Linked DNA regions of Canis lupus familiaris. The protein of the gene in region 1 binds, or shares a complex with, the protein of each later gene. Links are inferred from orthologs where the notes say so. Each region holds a gene or a part of one and is shown in the gene's direction. Other genes may lie near its edges. The genes, in order: GABARAPL1, NBR1 and STBD1.

Region 1 (5,871 bases):
TACAAAAGGTTTGAGGTAGAAATATTAATGAAATTTTATCTTCAAATTATTTTTCACATATAAATTGCCATTGTGCTTAGGTATTCTTAAAATAAAAGTTAAAATAAGCATTTTAACTAGCTATGATTTGATCAGAGAAACAAACCTTTTTTTTTTTTTTTAAGATTTTATTTATTTATTCATGAGAGACACAGAGAGGCAGAGACATAGGCAGAGGGAGAAGCAGGCTCCCTGTGAGGAGCTGATGTGGGACTCCATCTCAGGACCCCAGGATCCCAACCTGAGCCAAAGGCAGATGCTCAACCAAGGAGTCACCCAGGTGTCCCAAGAACCACACCCTTAAAATATTCATCTCCATCACAATTATCTTTCTCAGCTGGTTGTAAAGTACTTCCTTTCAGAGATTTTAGCTATAGTGGGTCAAAACTAAAATGAGCTAACATTTGGTTGAAAATAAGGATTAAAAATTATAAACATATAATGTGATAGACTCGTTCCTGGGTTTTTATACTAAAGAGGACTGAAAGACATCATGGAGGAGAAATAATTAACGTCAAGAGGTAAGGCTATTGATCTTCATTTTCCTTTTTTCAATAATGAAACTTAGTTTCTTTTATTTTGTGGGTTTGTTTTTTAAACCAGAGACATGGGGACTGCTGTTGTATATTTATTTCAGAGCTCCCTGGACTTGATCAAAGCAAAGCGGTCCTTCCTCTCTCTTCTATACCTTTTACAATTTTCTCTGCCTTCCTCCTGCTGATCTACAATCCCTGGAATCACTGCCATTGGCAGTGGTTGGAAAGGCCTTAATTCTTCCATTCTTAGTGGGGCCAGGGGACGGCCAGAGGCAAGCGACAACGGCAGGTGGCCCACCAGTCTTCCACCAGCCCTTCGGGTGGCACTTTATTTCACCTTAGGGACACTTAACAAGTAGTACTATCCTCTGGTGAATTTTTGCAGAATAAAAACAGAAATGGGGGATCCCTGGGTGGCGCAGCGGTTTGGCGCCTGCCTTTGGCCCAGGGCGCGATCCTGGAGCCCCGGGATCGAATCCCACGTCGGGCTCCCGGTGCATGGAGCCTGCTTCTCCCTCTGCCTGTGTCTCTGCCTCTCTCTCTCTCTCTCTCTCTGTGACTATCATAAATAAATAAAAATTAAAAAAAAAAACAACAGAAATGTTTAAGAGGTACTTTGTGAACCACCTGAATTGCTTGGTTATTTTCTTTTCCAGAAGACAGGCCCACCCTCTGAGTTCGTAGGAGAAAGTGAATCATTTCTATATCGGAGCGTGAGCGACGCCCTCGGCAGCGATGACTGACATCACTTCTCAGGACCTTGACGACAAGCTTGCCCTTCAGCTTCTACATCTCAAATTCCTGAGTCATGCTCTGTTGTTGCTGCCGCTCTAGGAGCGAATTGCGGCAAGGACCCAAACAAAATGACGTGCGCGCGCGTGGTGAAGGAGGGTCACGGTCGGAGCGCGCCAGCCCAGCGCCCAGGAGCGGGGGTGCAGACGAGGAGCAAAGGGCACAGTGCAGGCACCGGGCACTTCCGTACCGGGCCAAAGGCACCCGACGACCCCCATTCTTTCTTCTCCTAGATTCCAGATCCCAATAAGCTGGAAAGAGCTCGATTTTCGCCCCCTGTGTTTGTTTTTGGATCCAACCAAGAAACAGCGAGCAAGAGGGAATAAGATATCTTTAGAACGTATTTTTTTTTTTTTTTTTTGCATCCAAACCACTTTTAATGTCACAGCCACACAACGAAATTCGAAGTAAAAAAGTTATATGTTCGCAATACTCCCGACGCAGGAGAGTTCGGACAGAGGGAGAGGGGAGCGCGCCGAACCGGACCGACTTTCGCCCTCCCCCCCCGCCCCCCGCTGCCGTCCGAAGGCTGGGGGCGGGGCGGGGAGGCGGGACGTCATGACGTCATAATACCAACGCGCCGCCGTGTTGTTTTTGTGCTCGAGGCTCCGGGGAAAATCCGCCGGGATTTCTCCACCTGAGCGACTCCGTCTTGCGTCCGAGGGGACCCGACGTCCCTTCTGCAAGCTCTGCCAAGGCGCGTGGCGACGGGAGCTGACGTTTCTCAGGCGGTTCTGACACCTACATCGAAATTCGGCAGGGGGAGGCGAGGCGGGAGAGACGCAGCCACCCGCGAGGAAGGCAGGCCCCGGCCGGGGAATCTTAGAAACCCTGCGGTCCATCATGAAGTTCCAGTACAAGGAGGACCATCCCTTTGAATATCGGAAAAAGGAAGGAGAAAAAATCCGGAAGAAATATCCGGACAGGGTCCCTGTGAGTGTAATGGGGGGCAGGGAAGAGGAGGGGGGAAGGGGCTGAGCGCGCTTGGGGGAACCCGGGAGTCGTGGTGGCTGCCCTGAGGCACAGAAGAGGGGTGGTCTCTAGGGTTGCTGAGCCCCTGGAGAGCCGTGGAGCGCACGTCCTGATTGCGGACCCTGCACGGCCCGTCTCCCCGGGGCCGCTCTCCCCGTCATCTTTAGAGCGGAGCCTCCGTTTGAGTGACTCAGCAGTATTCAGAGGATGTGCAGGGTGAGAAGTGACCAGAACGTGGCCCTTTAGTGAGAGCAGGATCGAGATGGGACCATACATTCGCGTCCTTCAGAATCCCAGGGAAATTGTTCTGGAAATAACTTGGTGCAGTGAGGTTTGCGGCCATGGATTTCTGCCTTCGATGCGTCTCCCTGAAGTTGACTTTGGCTCTCAGAACATTGGGTTTGGGAGGGATAGATTCAGAAATCAGTGGATCCTTTCTTTTATTCCATAAGAATGAGAAAAGTGTCTTTGTTGGGGGGGGGGGGAGGGGAGGGCACGAGACAGGCCTGGCCCAGAAAACAAGGTCACGTTCTCTGCGCCACAGCCCGATTGCCTCATCATTCTTGGCTCCAGGGGCTTGTGAGGGTGCAGCCAGCCTCCCTCCTGTACTTATTCTATCAGATTGTACCTGGACACAACCATGAAGGACTGGGGCCTTTTGCTTCCGTCTTGGAAGCTGGTTTCTGTGGTTAAAATTAGTGCCGGCAGTGGGGAGAACAGAGAAACATTAAGGTAGCTTTCTGCATCCGGGCGCTTTTTTCGTCGCCCCATCCCCCGCCGCTTGCCTGTTTTTTTTTTTTTTTTTTTTTTTGTAATGTAGGCTGCGCAGCCAGATTGGAAGGCAGAAGACTTTTGAGTGTGGTGGTAGAGGGAACAACCACCGTTGGGTTTTGGAGATGGAGGAGCAGAGGCTGTCAGATTGTACTATCTTCAGGCAGGGACATTGGGATAAAGATGACGTATTATGTACAGGCAAAGTAATTGTGATTATGTGTTGTCAGTTCTTGACCTGCAGGTACTCTTTGGGACTCTTCTCCAATCCTTACCTAATTTTCATCGTGTTACAGCTACTGGAAGCAACTTGGGCCTTAATGCCTGCAGTAAAACTCCCCTGCAGTCCTTTATAAGGAAGCGAGACTTTAGGTCTGTTCCATTCCCCACGAATTGTACACAAGGGTTTTCAGCTAAAAAGGAGATCTAGCTCTATTACCCACCCAGTAAATGATCCTTCACAAATTACTTGTTTGGTATCTGGACTTTGGGTGACAGCTTCAAAAGTTTGCCCCAATTGTGGTGGTAGCAAGCCTCCTTTCGTCTAATAGTTAAAAATGACAACTAACTTTCATTGGTTGATTGTTTGCTCTATACTGACAGTATTGCATGTCCTCTGACCTTACTCAATCTTCACACCGTTATAATCCCATTCTACAGATGAAGGATCTGAAGCACAGAGAAATGACGGATTCCTAAAGGTTTCCTGTGGCTGGTGTGTGGCAGAGCCTGAGATTCCAACTCTGGTTGTTGGACCTTCCATGCCATATCGTTTCTCAATTTCTAATACAATTCTCTTAATTAAGAATTAAGGAAAATTAATCTCAGAATTAATTAAGGAGGCACTGTGTGACTCACACTGTTAGGTATTGGAAATTAAGAAAAAACATTGCAGCCCTAGAAAGGTCAGAGAAGTATGATGCCAGAAAGGTAACCCACTGAGCAAAATGACTACCATTTATTCAGAACAGTATGAGGCTCTGTTCCAGTAGCTCTGCCTAAGCCACAAACTCTGAAAGGTACCTGTTCCTAAATCTAGTTAAAATTCCCATGTATTTCTTCAAAACCGAGCCCTTGCCATTTCAGTCTCTTACATGCATTCACCCAGAGTATTTCAGCTAATCTTCCCTATTCTTTTCCTGCTCATTGTTTGGTGTTAAAAATGTTTGGCCTGTGTGATTACTTGTCAGCTCTTAGAATCATCACTCAGGTCTCATGGTTCCTTCAGTTGGGTTTTAACCAGTTTATAAGCGTTCCAGCTGCTCCTTAGGTGCTCAGCCTGTGACCTTCTTTGTGGTCGTGATGCAGGAAGAAGAGCTCTGCTCTCTGAGTTGTGAGATTTAGTTTTGGGCCAGATCCTTAATCTTGCTGTACTAAAGTGTACAGAAAAGAGGGTTAGTGTAAGTGATTTCTAAAACCCCTTCCAGCTGGGCCATTGGTATTTACCAAAGCAATCAGGTTCCCTGACTGCTCACATAACTCAGTTTTAGTTAGGCCCCTCCTTATCTCTTAGCTACCATCCAAAAGAATGGATGTGCTCCTGCCTTGAGAGGAAAGGTTTTCTTTGGATCTTAAAGTATCTGCATAGCTACAGTGTATTGAAAACCTTCAACACTGCAGGAAACTGTTAGGGACATATTGTCTATTCTTTAAAATTTGTAAAAGCCCTTGTGGAATATTGGCCGTATTGCACAGAAGAAAAAAACACGTCGAGAACCAAAGAGGAAAAGCATCTAGTCCAGGGCCTATGAGTAGAGTTGGGGTTGTTGGAAACCTAAGATATTTTCTGGTAAGCCAAGGCCTTAATGATTACCCATCCCCCTCCTGTTCATCTCCAAATCCCAACCTCCTGTCTGGATATCTTATTTGCAGTATATTTTATTGCCTCTTTTTCTGCTCTCTTTTTGTGGTTTCTGTCACTTCTTACTGATGGGAGCGGGAGGTCTCAGGGTTCCTTTGGGAAACAGTGTTAGGCTCCCTCTCTTTCCCTTTGCTTTTTTATTAACCTGATGCCTCCTGTCCATCCTCATTGTTGGGCCTTCACTGGTCTATCCCTGAACTTCTTCCTACTTTTTCTTTTAAATTTCTGATTCACGTATTTTTTTTTCTGGTTTTCACTTCTAAATTTTTAGAGGGATCATGTCCCTTCAGTCTTCCTGGTTCAGGATTCTTTTTCTCCAGAAACACAAAATAATGTTTTTTACTCCTTTTATGTGTTCCCTTTCATTTAAAAGCTTCAAGCCTCCAAGTCTCTCCTCTTAAATCGTTCCTTTTATTAAGATAATTCTTCATAATTTACAAAACATTTTCACATAAAATTTTATGGATTACTCAAAGTTACTGTAGGAGTACCATGACTGTAGAAGATATATTGGAAAGTTTCATCTTCCTATTACTCACCGGAATGCTGTAGTTCAAAGAAGTTAAATGACCTGTTGAAGATCACAAAGTTCCCTGGGATACTTGTCTAGTGTTACTTCTACTTCTGTAACTCTTCTAGATTTTCTGTGTGTTTGATCAAGAATGATTGTATTTTTTTTTTTTTTTAAGATTTTATTTATTCCTGAGAGGGGCAGAGACATAGGCAGAGGGAGAAACAGGCTTCCCACAGGGAGCCTGATGCAGGCCTTGATCCCAGGACCCTGGGATCATGAACCAAAGGTAGATGCTCAACCACTGGGTCACCCTGGTGCCCTACAAAAGATTTTAAATATTTATAATTTCAGTTAAGTTACATAAATTATAAATACTAAGTATATTT
Region 2 (5,110 bases), on another chromosome or scaffold:
TCGATCCCGGGTCTCCAGGATCGCGCCCTGTGCCAAAGGCAGGCGCCAAACCGCTGCGCCACCCAGGGATCCCTTTATGGACATTTTTACATAGTATTTGCTATATGATACTTAAGATCCCATGTTTATATTTTGACACATTTCATTGTAGTGATTTCTTGAGCAATTTTTTTCCACAGATGTACCATACACTTTACTACCAGCTTCTTGGCTTATGGTCTAGAATAAGGGTTGGCAAACTAGCCAGTGGGCCAGCCATATGCTTTTGTAAATAAAGTTTCAGTGGAACCCAGCCATGCCGACTACATACTGTCTGTGGCTGCTTTTGTGCAGACTTGAGCAGAAACCATATGGCCTGCAAGCCTAAAATATTTACGTGACCCTTTAAGAAAATTTGCTGATCCCCATCTTAAAATAATACCTTTCAAACTTTTTGGCCATAGAATGCTATTTTTAAATGGAAGCTTAAAAGTCTGATGTGTAAAAATAGATAAAAGAACTGTTCTCCTTATCACTGGCTTACAAAGGGGGAGAGCTAAAACTGATAGACTTGACCCCTAATCTCTTTCTGGACACTGGAGAACCTTCATGGAACCTCAAATGTACTTCAAGTAGAGTTTTCAAAATAGGATTTTTAAGAAGATGCTCTTTCAAAAGAGGTAACCACTCAACCATGCTTCCCGAAATACTATTGGAAAAATAAATGCTTAGTTATAGGATATAACTTTAAGTTTCTTGGGTTCTGGTAGTCTAGGATTGATTTTTTTTTAAAGTTGGAATTCAAATCCATAAGTGGGGTCCTACATAAAAACCAGTTTAACAGAAAAGTATTAACCTAGTCAGTGAGAATATCTCACATAATAAAGTGCTATCCTAAATCTACTTTTGTGTTTTTGATAATAAAACCATTCCTAGTTAACATTTTGGGTAAAAAACAGTGGGCTATTACATGTTATATACCATGTGATTTAATAAAGGTAAATCCTGGTATTTTCAGCATAATTCACCATACCTGTTCTGTTTAAATGTCTTTGAGATTTCATTTGGGAAAGAAGAATCACACAATGTTTTTATTTCATACCATTTGCTTTCAGATGGCAGTTAAGCAGGGAAACCAACTGCAGATGCAAGTCCACGAAGGCTCCCGTGTTGATGAAGCCCCACCACCAGCTGTACCAGAAAAACGGCCAGTCTTGAGGGCAGGGAAGAAGCCACTTGCACATTATTCGTCACTAGTGAAGGTCTTAGGATCAGACATGAAGACCCCAGAGGAGCCTGCAGCACAGGTATGAAGGGAACAGGACCTGTCTCTACAATTTTTCTAGCCTTCTGTCTCATTGTCTCCGGTATAACATTTGAATTGTGCATTAAAGATTTGGGAATTATTGTTACCATCTCTGCCTGACTTTTTTTTTTTTCTTTTTTAAGATTTTATGTATTTATTCATGAGAGACCACATAGAGGCAGAGACACAGGCAGAGGGAGGAGGCTCCATGCAGGAAACCAGATGCAGGACTTGATCCCAGGATCCCGGGATCATTCCCTGAGCCAAAAACAGATGCTCAACCGCTGAGCCACCCAGGCATCCCTTTTTTATTTTTTTTAATTTATTTATTTATTAATGATAGAGTCAGAGACATAGGCAGAGGGAGAAGCAGAGCCTAGTGAGAGACTCCATCCCGGGACTCAGGGATCATGCCCTGAGCCAAAGGCAGATGCTAAACCACTGAGCCACCCAGGCATCCCTTAATTTTATTTATTTATTTGAGGGGGAGAATAGAGAGCACAAGCGGGGAGGGCCGGAGAGAGGGGCAGAGGGAGAAGCAGACTCCTTGCTGAACAGGGAGCCCAATATAGAGCTTGGTCTCAGAACCTCAAGATCATGTCCTGAGCCAAAGGCAGATGCCCCTCTGCCTATTTGAAACTGGTAACTGGGGATGCCTGGGTGACTCAGTCAGTTGGGTATCTGCCTTCGGCTCAGGACCCTGGGATTAAGCCCCAAGTTGGGCTCCTTGCTCAGTGTGGAGCCTGCTTCTCCCTCTGCCTGCCACTCCCCATTGCTTGTGTTCTCTCTCTCTCTGTATCTCTGACAAGTGAATGAAAAAAAATCTTTAAAAAAAGAAAAGATGGGATCCCTGGGTGGCGCAGTGGTTTGGCGCCTGCCTTTGGCCCAGGGCGCGATCCTGGAGACCCGGGATCGAATCCCACGTCGGGCTCCCTGCATGGAGCCTGCTTCTCCCTCTGCCTGTGTCTCTGCCTCTCTCTCTCTCTCTCACTATCATAAATAAATAAAAATTAAAAAAAAAAAAAAAAAAAAGAAAAGAAGGGCAGCCCCCATGGCGCCGTGGTTTAGCGCCGCCTGCAGCTTGGGGTGTGATACTGGAGACCTAGGATGGAGTCCCATGTCAGGCTCCCTGCATGGAGCCTGCTTCTCCCTCTGCCTGTGTCTCTGCCCCTCCCTCCCTCCCTCTCTCTCTCTCTCTCTCTCTCTGCCTCTCTATCTCTCTGTCTCTCTATGAATAAATAAATAAAATCTTTAAAAAAATAAAAATAAATTAAATAAAAAAGAAAAAAACTAACTGGTTACACTTCTGGAGAGAGGACAATAGGATGATAAACTTTATTTTCCTTGTATGCTTCTTCATACCTTTTAAAAATATTTTATTTATTTTCTTAATTTGAGTGAGAGAGCACAAGTGGAGGGGAGGGAGAGGGAGAAGTAGGCTCCCCACTGAGCAGAGAGCCCCACATGGGGCTTGATCCCAGGTCTCTGGGATCATGGACCTGAGCTGAAGGCAGACACTCACTGAGCCAACCAGGCATCCTTTATTAGGTTTTTTTTTGCCATATGTTTATATTATTTGACAAAAAAGAAACCTCAAAGTACTACATTTCAGGAAATATTTTTTTCAGGAAAATTATTTTAAATAGGGTGCCTGGCTGGCTCAGTTGGTAGAATATGCGACTCTTATCTCAGGGTTGTGAGGTCGAACCCCACATTGGGTATAGAGATTACTTAAAAAAAATTTAAAATCTTTTTTAAAAAATAGTTATTTCAAACAGAAGAAAAAAATATTTTCTCTAAGATCTTGGGTTGTGTTTCCTTGCAGCGGTTTCCACTTGCTCCCCGCGACACAGACCAGCCTCAGGACAAGCCCCCAGACTGGTTCACAAGCTACCTGGAGACAGTGAGTGTTCTCTCTGGAGTAGGCTTTAGCAGCTGTGTTGGCACAGGTGAAGTGTGGGAGAAATAGAAAGCTCAACCCACACGGCTGCTGCCTCTGGGGCAGATGAATGAAGAGTATAGCTAATCATTTCTAAACTAGAGCAAATCTAGTCCAGAAAGTTCCTAACTTCTACAGGGATGTATCAGAAAAAGAGGGAGCCTTATTCTAAGGATGTAAGGGAAAGGAACAAATCTCTGTGCTTAGGTAAGAAGGAAGGAAGAGGTTAGAAACCTACTCATCACAATGATTTTTTCTGGTATCCTCAGTGTACCCATGGAAAGAATAGACCTTCTTTTGTTACATTTCTTTTTTTTTTTTTTTTTTTTTTGTTACATTTCTGTCCATTTGTTCAGTAGTTAGTAGCTGTTTATGATGTTCTTACACCAGAGATGGTGAGGTGTCTGGTCTATTTGGTATCTTCAGACTTTTTTCCAATGTTGGAACTGAGGTTTTTTTCCCGTTAATCTGTTCTGTATTCTAGTTCCGAGAACAAGTAGTTAAAGAAACGGTTGAGAAACTTGAACAGAAATTACATGAGAAGCTTGTCCTCCAGAACCCGTCCTTGGGTTCCTGTCCATCAGAAGGCTCAATGCCCATTTCAGAGGAAACGCTGTTTTTGCCAGAAAACCAGTTCAACTGGCGTATTGCTTGCAACAGCTGCCAAAGGAGGATCATTGGTGTGCGCTACCAGTGCAGGTAAGCACTCACTTTGGAATGCATACATGTTAGAAGACCTCTGAACAGGCCTTCCTGGCATCTGGAGAGGTAGCAGAAAATTGGGCATACTCTGTCTCTGGATATCACACATAGATACCTGCTCTGGATTAGAAATAAGCTGTTTGTCACCCACAAAAAATACTATACAAAGGTTAACTATTCAGATTGTTGTTGTATTCACATATGCATTTGAACTAACAGAACTAGACAAATTATGTTCCCCAAGGCAAAATTACATCATCAGGGATTATCACCCTGTTATTCCAAATGCTTTCATATTTTGCTTCCTCCCATAGATTGTCCTTTGAAACAGATACATGTTAAATGCTGTTACTTTCATTTTATTAATAAGGAAACTTGAGATAGAGCATGGCCAGGTGACATGCTCAGGTTACCACACCCAGCTGATAATACAGCCAGTATGGAAGTCTGGTCTCCTGTGTCACCAGGACTTGTCATGCTTTTCCCCACAGCCTGTGCCCATCCTATAATATCTGTGAAGATTGTGAATCGGGGCCATATACCCATGACTCCAACCACATCCTGCTGAAGTTGCGGAGACCTGTGATGGGTTCTTCTGAAGCGTTCTCTCACCCAAGGTTCCCTGGCCCTCGTCTTCCTGCTGCTCTGGAACAAGCCAGGTAAAAACATAAGTACACAGGAGGCTTGTTCTCTGATGGGTGTCTCCATTGTGATGGGGCAGGGATCAAATTGCAGACAGTCTACTTAGTTCCTGTGCATTTCTAGTTATGTGTGATAATGGGGACAATGAGCTGAAGCTAATGAGACAGAAACGAGAACTGTAGAAAGAAGTTAAGCTAGAAGCTGGCACTGATGGAGGCTACCAGTGGCTCAAGATAGCTTCAATATTTGTGAGGTTTTGGGTTTTTTTTTTTTTTTTTTAAGACTTTTTATTTGTTACCTCACAGGCTCCAGAAACAGGTCGACAAGAATTTTCTTAAAGCAGAAAAGCAAAGGTTGCGAGCGGAGAAGAAACAACGAAAGGCAGAGGTCAAAGAACTCAAAAAACAGCTTAAGCTCCACAGGAAGATTCATCTGTGGAGTTCCATCCATGGACTCCAGAGCCCCAGGTCCCCTCTAGGCCGATCTGAGAGCCTGCTGCAGTCAAACACCCTGATGTAAGCCCAAGGGTGGGGCACCTAGGC
Region 3 (5,909 bases), on another chromosome or scaffold:
CATTTACTGGTTATATTTTTAATAAATAGCGATTGATGACAATAAACTTTTACTAAGAGCCTTCTAGTTATTAGAAATGGATAGTGGGGCTTGCTTTCTCTGATTTTACAGATCCGTTGAGGTTTCATTTGTGAGCACAATTGATAAAGAAACTTTGACCAATGAAGCAGCTCACAAAGTTATCCGTGAGGAAATAAAAAGAAAATGTTCAAGAATTTTCATACTATATGTAAAATCACTCTACTTGTTTTAGAGTTTGTAAAATTCAAGGACATCCTATGACATTAAGTTTTACTTTGACAAAAGGAGATAAATTCTAAAATTTTCTACAAAATTCTGACCATTAAACAATTAGAGCTATAATAGTCTTATGACTTAAGAATGAATTAGTAAGAGTCCATGAGAATGTTATTTTATTTTATTATTTATTTTTATTTTTTATTTATTTATTTATTTTAATATTTTTTTTAATTTTTATTTATTTATGATAGTCACACAGAGAGAGAGAGAGAGAGGCAGAGACACAGGCAGAGGGAGAAGCAGGCTCCATGCAGGGAGGCCGAGGCCGATGGGGGACTCGATCCCACGACCCTGGGGTCACACCCTGGGCCAAGGCAGATGCTCAACCGCTGGGCCACCCAGGCGCCCGGAGGAGTAGGATTCTTAATGTGGGATTTTGCAGAGAGAGCAGCAGCTGGCTCCTTCCTGCCTACTGTGAGGGGGAGAGCAGTAGCCGAGGGCGACTGGACATTGCTGGGGTCTGCTCCTGGGGAGGGTGTGGCTGCCACGTCGTCGTCGGGCTGCCGGGGCTGCCCCCGCGGGGTTGGGGAGGAGGTGGGAGGTCACACTCCAGGGAGTTGGGCTTGGGCGGCTGCCAGCGTCCCGGAAGCCGGCCCGGGCTCCTTCCCCCCTTGCCTCGCCCCGTCCCTTAGCCTCTGCGGGCGTCGTGGCCGACCCGGGGGAGGCACGGCCCGGCCCTGCAGGACCTGGGCCAGGGCTGCCGTGTGCCCGAACCTGGGGCCCCTTTGAACGATCTGCTTTGCCAGAGGGAGCCCCTCCGTTCGGTCTCCCCGGGCGGCATTGCCCGCGGGCCGCAGCAGTTGGTGCAGAAGCGCGTGCGCGTCGGGCGAAGGGCTCCAGCTGCACACGCGGGCGAGGGGAGGACGAGCTGGAAGTTCTTTTCTCGCGCGGTTGTTGGGTTTGCGAGGGTCTGGTTACGCTCGCACTTCACCGCAGCGCTTAACAAAGAGGGCCGCGAGTTTTATGAGAAAACCCATCCGTGGGATCCCCGCGGGGCGCAGCGGTTTGGCGCCTGCCTTTGGCCCAGGGCGCAATCCTGGAGACCCGGGATCGAATCCCACGTCGGGCTCCCGGTGCATGGAGCCTGCTTCTCCCTCTGCCTGTGTCTCTGCCTCTCTCTCTCTCTCTCTCTCTGTGACTATCATAAATAAATAAAAATTAAAAAAAAATTAAGAAGAGCTTTCTCGGGATCCCTGGGTGGCGCAGCGGTTTGGCGCCTGCCTTTGGCCCAGGGCGCGATCCTGGAGACGCGGGATCGAATCCCACGTAGGGCTCCCGGTGCATGGAGCCTGCTCCTCCCTTTGCCTGTGTCTCTGCCTCTCTCTCTCTCTCTCTGTGACTATCATAAATAAATAAAAATTAAAAAAAAAAGCCCACCCGTGGGAGCTCGTCCCTGCCGTGCGCAGTGCGGACCGGAGCGCACGCAGTTTGCAGCCAGCACACCCCAGAGCGGTCGAGGGAGGAGCCAGGACTGGACGTGGCTGCGACGAGCGGCCCTGGTGGTGGATGCTCTCGTCGCCCGGGCGGGGCTCCCGAGGCTGTGCCCGCCCTGCCCCGGCCCCGCCCCTGGAGAGTCCGCGGGAGGAGGCGCCCGGGGCCCGGCGAGGTCGGGACGCAGCGCGGGGCGGGGCGGGGGCGGCTGTGCCCGCGGCCGAGGCGCGTCCGGGCGCCGTGGTCCCCGCAGCGGCCGCCTGGCCTCCGCCATGGGCGCCGTGTGGTCCGCCCTGCTGGTCGGGGGCGGCCTGGCCGGCGCGATCTTCGTCTGGCTGCTGCGGGACGCGGCGGCCGAGGGCGACTCGGAGCGGCAGGACGCGGCCCCGGGGGGCGCCCGGCGCGGCGGCGGGGGACTGAGCTGCGGACCGCCCGGGCGGGAGCCGGCCGCCTCGCCAGGTACTGCCCCCCACGGCCGCAGGGCCCGCCGGCTCGGGGCTCCGGGGCCGCGGGGCGGGGCGGAAACCGCGGGGTCCCCGCCGGCCCCGCCAGGGGGATGCGCACCTGCGCTGGGGCGCTCGGGGCGCTCGGGGCGCTCGGGGCGCTCGGGCGGCTGCGCCCAGGTTCAGGGGTCCCGCGACCCCCTTCAGCTCTCCCGCCCCAGCCCCAAGGCCCACGGCCCCTCCCCGCGCCCCGCGGAAGGGCCGGGCCCGGGAACCCCAGGCCGTGGGCACCTCCCGCCGCCCGGGAGGCAGGGCCCGGGCTGGACCCCGGCCACGGAGGCCTCGGCTGAGCCGCAGAGCAGAGCCCCGGAACGGGCCCACCTAACAGGGCATCCAGCCCCAGCGACCAGGACTGACAGCCGGTTCACGTGTGTGCATGTTGGCGACTGCGTGACCGCGAGTAAGGGGAGGAAGGCCGCTGGCAGAAGCCCCAGCCTCCAGGGCGCGCCTGGACTCCGACCCATTGGTGAAAACGACATCTGGGAACTTTATTTTTAGTGGAGTCAGTGTTCATGTGGAGCCATCCGAGACTCTGCCTCTGTGCCTTCCCCACAGCTGGTGTGGGACGAGCAGGGAGCTCATGTATCTTCTTCTGAAAGCCAGCCTCATGTTTTAGGTTGGAAGATGAGGAATTCAGGGTAATGTTCGTGTCTCACGACTCCATTAAAAAGAGACAAAATTAAACAAGGCCAAACCCTCACAGACCGCCTCCCCCCCCATCCGTGCTGATTGTATGACTTTGGAGATTTCGGTCTTGTAGGGAGCTATTCCGACGGAGAGTGAGGCGTCCAAGAAGGAAACCGAGCCTTTAGGGAGCTTGGATCGTGTAACTGCGAGAACATTTTTTTTTAAAAAAGTGAACAGTCCCTGTGGGGATGCAAAAAGCCTATTTTTGTTGAAGATATTCCTAACGCATATGGGGTTGGCAAAGAGAAACCAGTCCTCTTCCCCCACCAGCACCCCCAACTCTTGCACAATGACTCACCACTGTTCCTTGTATTCCCCCACAGTGTCAGCTGCTGGGGGTCTGCCCACATCTGTGAGAGCCGATCCCCAGCGTGCATGCAGTTCCTGGGAGTGCAAGTGTACTCTTAGGGTCCGTAGGGTAGCCATGCGGATCTCTGCCGGAACAACAGTTTTTGATGATAGAAGCAGAACAATGTGGCTGCATGCCAGTACGGTCTGGACTGTGGGGATTGAGGACCACGACAGGGTCACAAGTCTGCTTCTACACTTGCCACTTCATTTACACTCTTGGGTGGGCACACTGATGCTCCCGGATATGCCTTTTATTACTGGATACACATGCATATTCTTAAAGTACACTGTTGGTGCAGTTAGTGTCTGAACTGGGTAATTAAGTACTTGCTTTGAATCGAGATGGATTTTGTGAACTGCAGATAGATTAATGATAAAGTCTTCAACAACTAAATCTATTTTCCCAGCCTTTTTTCTCGCAAGAACTGCCTAACACTATTACATTTTTCCTTTTGTTTTAGAGCATCTTCAAGAAAGCAATGGATGTTTGGTTTCAGAGACCAAAGGCCATGGTAACTTGCAGGAAGCAGCACGGAGACTGCAGAGTCCTTCTGGAAAAGACAGTGGTTGCAACAGTTCAAGAGAGCATGTTCCTTCTGGAGGGTTTCCAGCCACAGAATCTCTAGCTGCATCTGAGACTGGTAACTCTCGGGGTTACTCTGAAGTTTCAAGAAATGAAAGCCTTGAATCTGCTATAAGAGAATGGGGATTCCAGAAAGGACAAGAGACACTTGCTAATGTAGCTTCCTGTTTTGCAGAAAAGTTGTATTCTAGCAACCTGGTCATTGACAGAGCGAAGGAAGTGAGCCTTGCACAGCTGAGCAATCAGGACCGGGCTGACAATGAGGACTGGGAAATGGTGTCCAGGCACTCATCCTGGGGAGATGCTGCTTTGGGTGGCAGCCTTGAGGCTCCAGTGGTAAGCCCAAACCAGGAAATGGACTGTGGCAGAAGCACTCTTATGGAACCAAGAGGTCAGGAAGTGGATGTGAAACGGAAAAAGGTAGTAGCGGTGGTTTCGGGGTCCCAGCAAGTTAGCATCAGGTTCCAGATCCATTATATCACAAGCACTGGTAAGCAGTGTATTGCGATCACTGGAGATCACAAGAGTCTTGGAAGGTGGAGTACCTACCTCCCACTCCAGTATAGCAAGGATGGGTTCTGGTGTCGTTCTGTGTCCCTGCCTGCAGATACAGTGGTGGAATGGAAGTTTGTAGTCGTAGAAAATGGGGAGATTACCCGCTGGGAAGAATGTAGCAATAGGTTCCTGGAGACTGGTCGTGAGGATAAAGTGGTACAAAAGTGGTGGGGGATTCCCTGATTGTTTTCAAAGTAGTGGAGAAGCTGTTGTAGAATCTGGAAAAGGCTAAGTTTGTGGGGCACACTGAATAATTTTAAATAAAGTAGAACTCCAAATTTAGCCATCAGAGTTGTTTCAAATTTGCCAGTGGCTTGCATCTGACGTGCAGAAATATAATGTAGATGATGCTTCCAGTGAGCGTGGACTTTTTTTTTCCTGTGGTGTTGATGGGTGGATTTTCGCTGATCCATGGTTACTTCAGGGCTTGGTCCTCTTGGGGAATGACTTGGCTAAGCTTCTGGTGTGGACTGGCCTGGGCGTAGCAAAACCAACTGGCTGCCCAGGGTTCAAGCTTGAGCCTTTGGGTGGGTAATCCTTAAACCCGGGGAGTGAAACAAGTCTCATTCAAAAAGAGCTGCTTTCCTATTGGTACAACTGGAGAAACTCTCTTACTACATGCACAACTTTTTTTTTTTTTTTTTAAGATTTTATTTATTCATGAGAGAGAGAGAGAGAGAGGGAGAGGCAGAGACACAGGCGGAGGGAGAAGCAGGCTCCATGCAGGGAGCCCGATGTGGGACTCGATCCCGGGTCTCCAGGATCAGGCCCTGGGCTGAAGGTGGCGCTAAACTGCTGAGCCACCAGGGCTGCCCCCATGCACAACTTTTTATTTAAAAATAATGCCATATGCAACTGTGATCAGAAATATCTGGTCGCAAGAGGTGATCACCAAGGATATGAACTTGTAAGACTTCCTGATGTTTTACTTTGTTTTGCTTGATTTCACCTGCTAGTTATGGTTTGAAGGTAGCAAGTAAGTCTTTGTCTTAATAATGGCAAACTGGTGCAGAAACAAGGGGCCTAGTTAGAGTCGGTCATTGGGAGGAGCCAAGAGGAGAGGGAATGGGAATGGGATTCCAGTGTGGGCTGAGTGAGTGGCCTGAGTGATGCTCCTACTAATGCCGGGAGGGACTGCAGCATTCATGTCCCTCTAGGGCCTTTGTAGGACCATCTCTCCCCTGGCTCCTGTTCTCTCACGGGTCTGGACTGACAGAGGGACTGATAGCAATCATTCTCCTGCCCTCTCCTCTCAGACCAACAGCTATCTTGGGTAACAAAATTATAACAGGACAGTGATAGAGAAGTACGACTTTGTTCTGAGAAGAAATTAAACTTCATTATAACTGAACAAATAAAATGTGAGTTTTAATATCTTTATTTGATGTTTGAATTACTTATCTAAACCTTAGTACCATAATAGCTTAGATGTAAAATAAAATACCAATATTTTCCTCCACTATAACAGACACATAGGAAAAAAGCAAACATCAAGAGGC

What was found.
Region 2: the proteins of GABARAPL1 (region 1) and NBR1 are in contact, whole or in part, in an NMR structure (PDB 2L8J), measured with the Homo sapiens proteins. The link is inferred for Canis lupus familiaris from reciprocal best matches to the Homo sapiens genes GABARAPL1 and NBR1. Residues at the interface, in NP_113600.1 of Homo sapiens: Glu12, Tyr13, Lys16, Glu17, Lys20, Ile21, Lys24, Tyr25, Arg28, Pro30, Lys48, Tyr49, Leu50, Val51, Pro52, Phe104; in NP_005890.2 of Homo sapiens: Ser729, Glu730, Asp731, Tyr732, Ile733, Ile734, Ile735, Leu736.
Region 3: the proteins of GABARAPL1 (region 1) and STBD1 are in contact, whole or in part, in a crystal structure (PDB 8X8A), measured with the Homo sapiens proteins. The link is inferred for Canis lupus familiaris from reciprocal best matches to the Homo sapiens genes GABARAPL1 and STBD1. Residues at the interface, in NP_113600.1 of Homo sapiens: Glu17, Ile21, Tyr25, Asp27, Arg28, Pro30, Val31, Ile32, Lys46, Lys48, Tyr49, Leu50, Val51, Pro52, Asp54, Leu55, Gly58, Gln59, Phe62, Leu63, Arg67, Phe104; in NP_003934.1 of Homo sapiens: Glu201, Glu202, Trp203, Glu204, Met205, Val206, Pro207, Arg208, His209, Ser210, Gly213.

What each region holds. Positions count from the first base shown.
Region 1 is NC_049248.1:10,351,605-10,357,475, forward strand, and holds the start of GABARAPL1 (gamma-aminobutyric acid receptor-associated protein-like 1), read left to right. Parts: upstream 1-1,928; 5' UTR 1,929-2,210; coding exon 2,211-2,300; intron 2,301-5,871. UniProt on the Homo sapiens protein: Ubiquitin-like modifier that increases cell-surface expression of kappa-type opioid receptor through facilitating anterograde intracellular trafficking of the receptor. Involved in formation of autophagosomal vacuoles.
Region 2 is NC_049230.1:19,814,248-19,819,357, reverse strand, and holds part of NBR1 (next to BRCA1 gene 1 protein), read left to right. Parts: intron 1-1,094; coding exon 1,095-1,286; intron 1,287-3,110; coding exon 3,111-3,188; intron 3,189-3,708; coding exon 3,709-3,923; intron 3,924-4,417; coding exon 4,418-4,585; intron 4,586-4,873; coding exon 4,874-5,083; intron 5,084-5,110. UniProt on the Homo sapiens protein: Ubiquitin-binding autophagy adapter that participates in different processes including host defense or intracellular homeostasis.
Region 3 is NC_049253.1:39,244,744-39,250,652, reverse strand, and holds STBD1 (starch-binding domain-containing protein 1), read left to right. Parts: upstream 1-1,974; 5' UTR 1,975-2,003; coding exon 2,004-2,190; intron 2,191-3,733; coding exon 3,734-4,593; 3' UTR 4,594-4,770; downstream 4,771-5,909. UniProt on the Homo sapiens protein: Acts as a cargo receptor for glycogen. Delivers its cargo to an autophagic pathway called glycophagy, resulting in the transport of glycogen to lysosomes.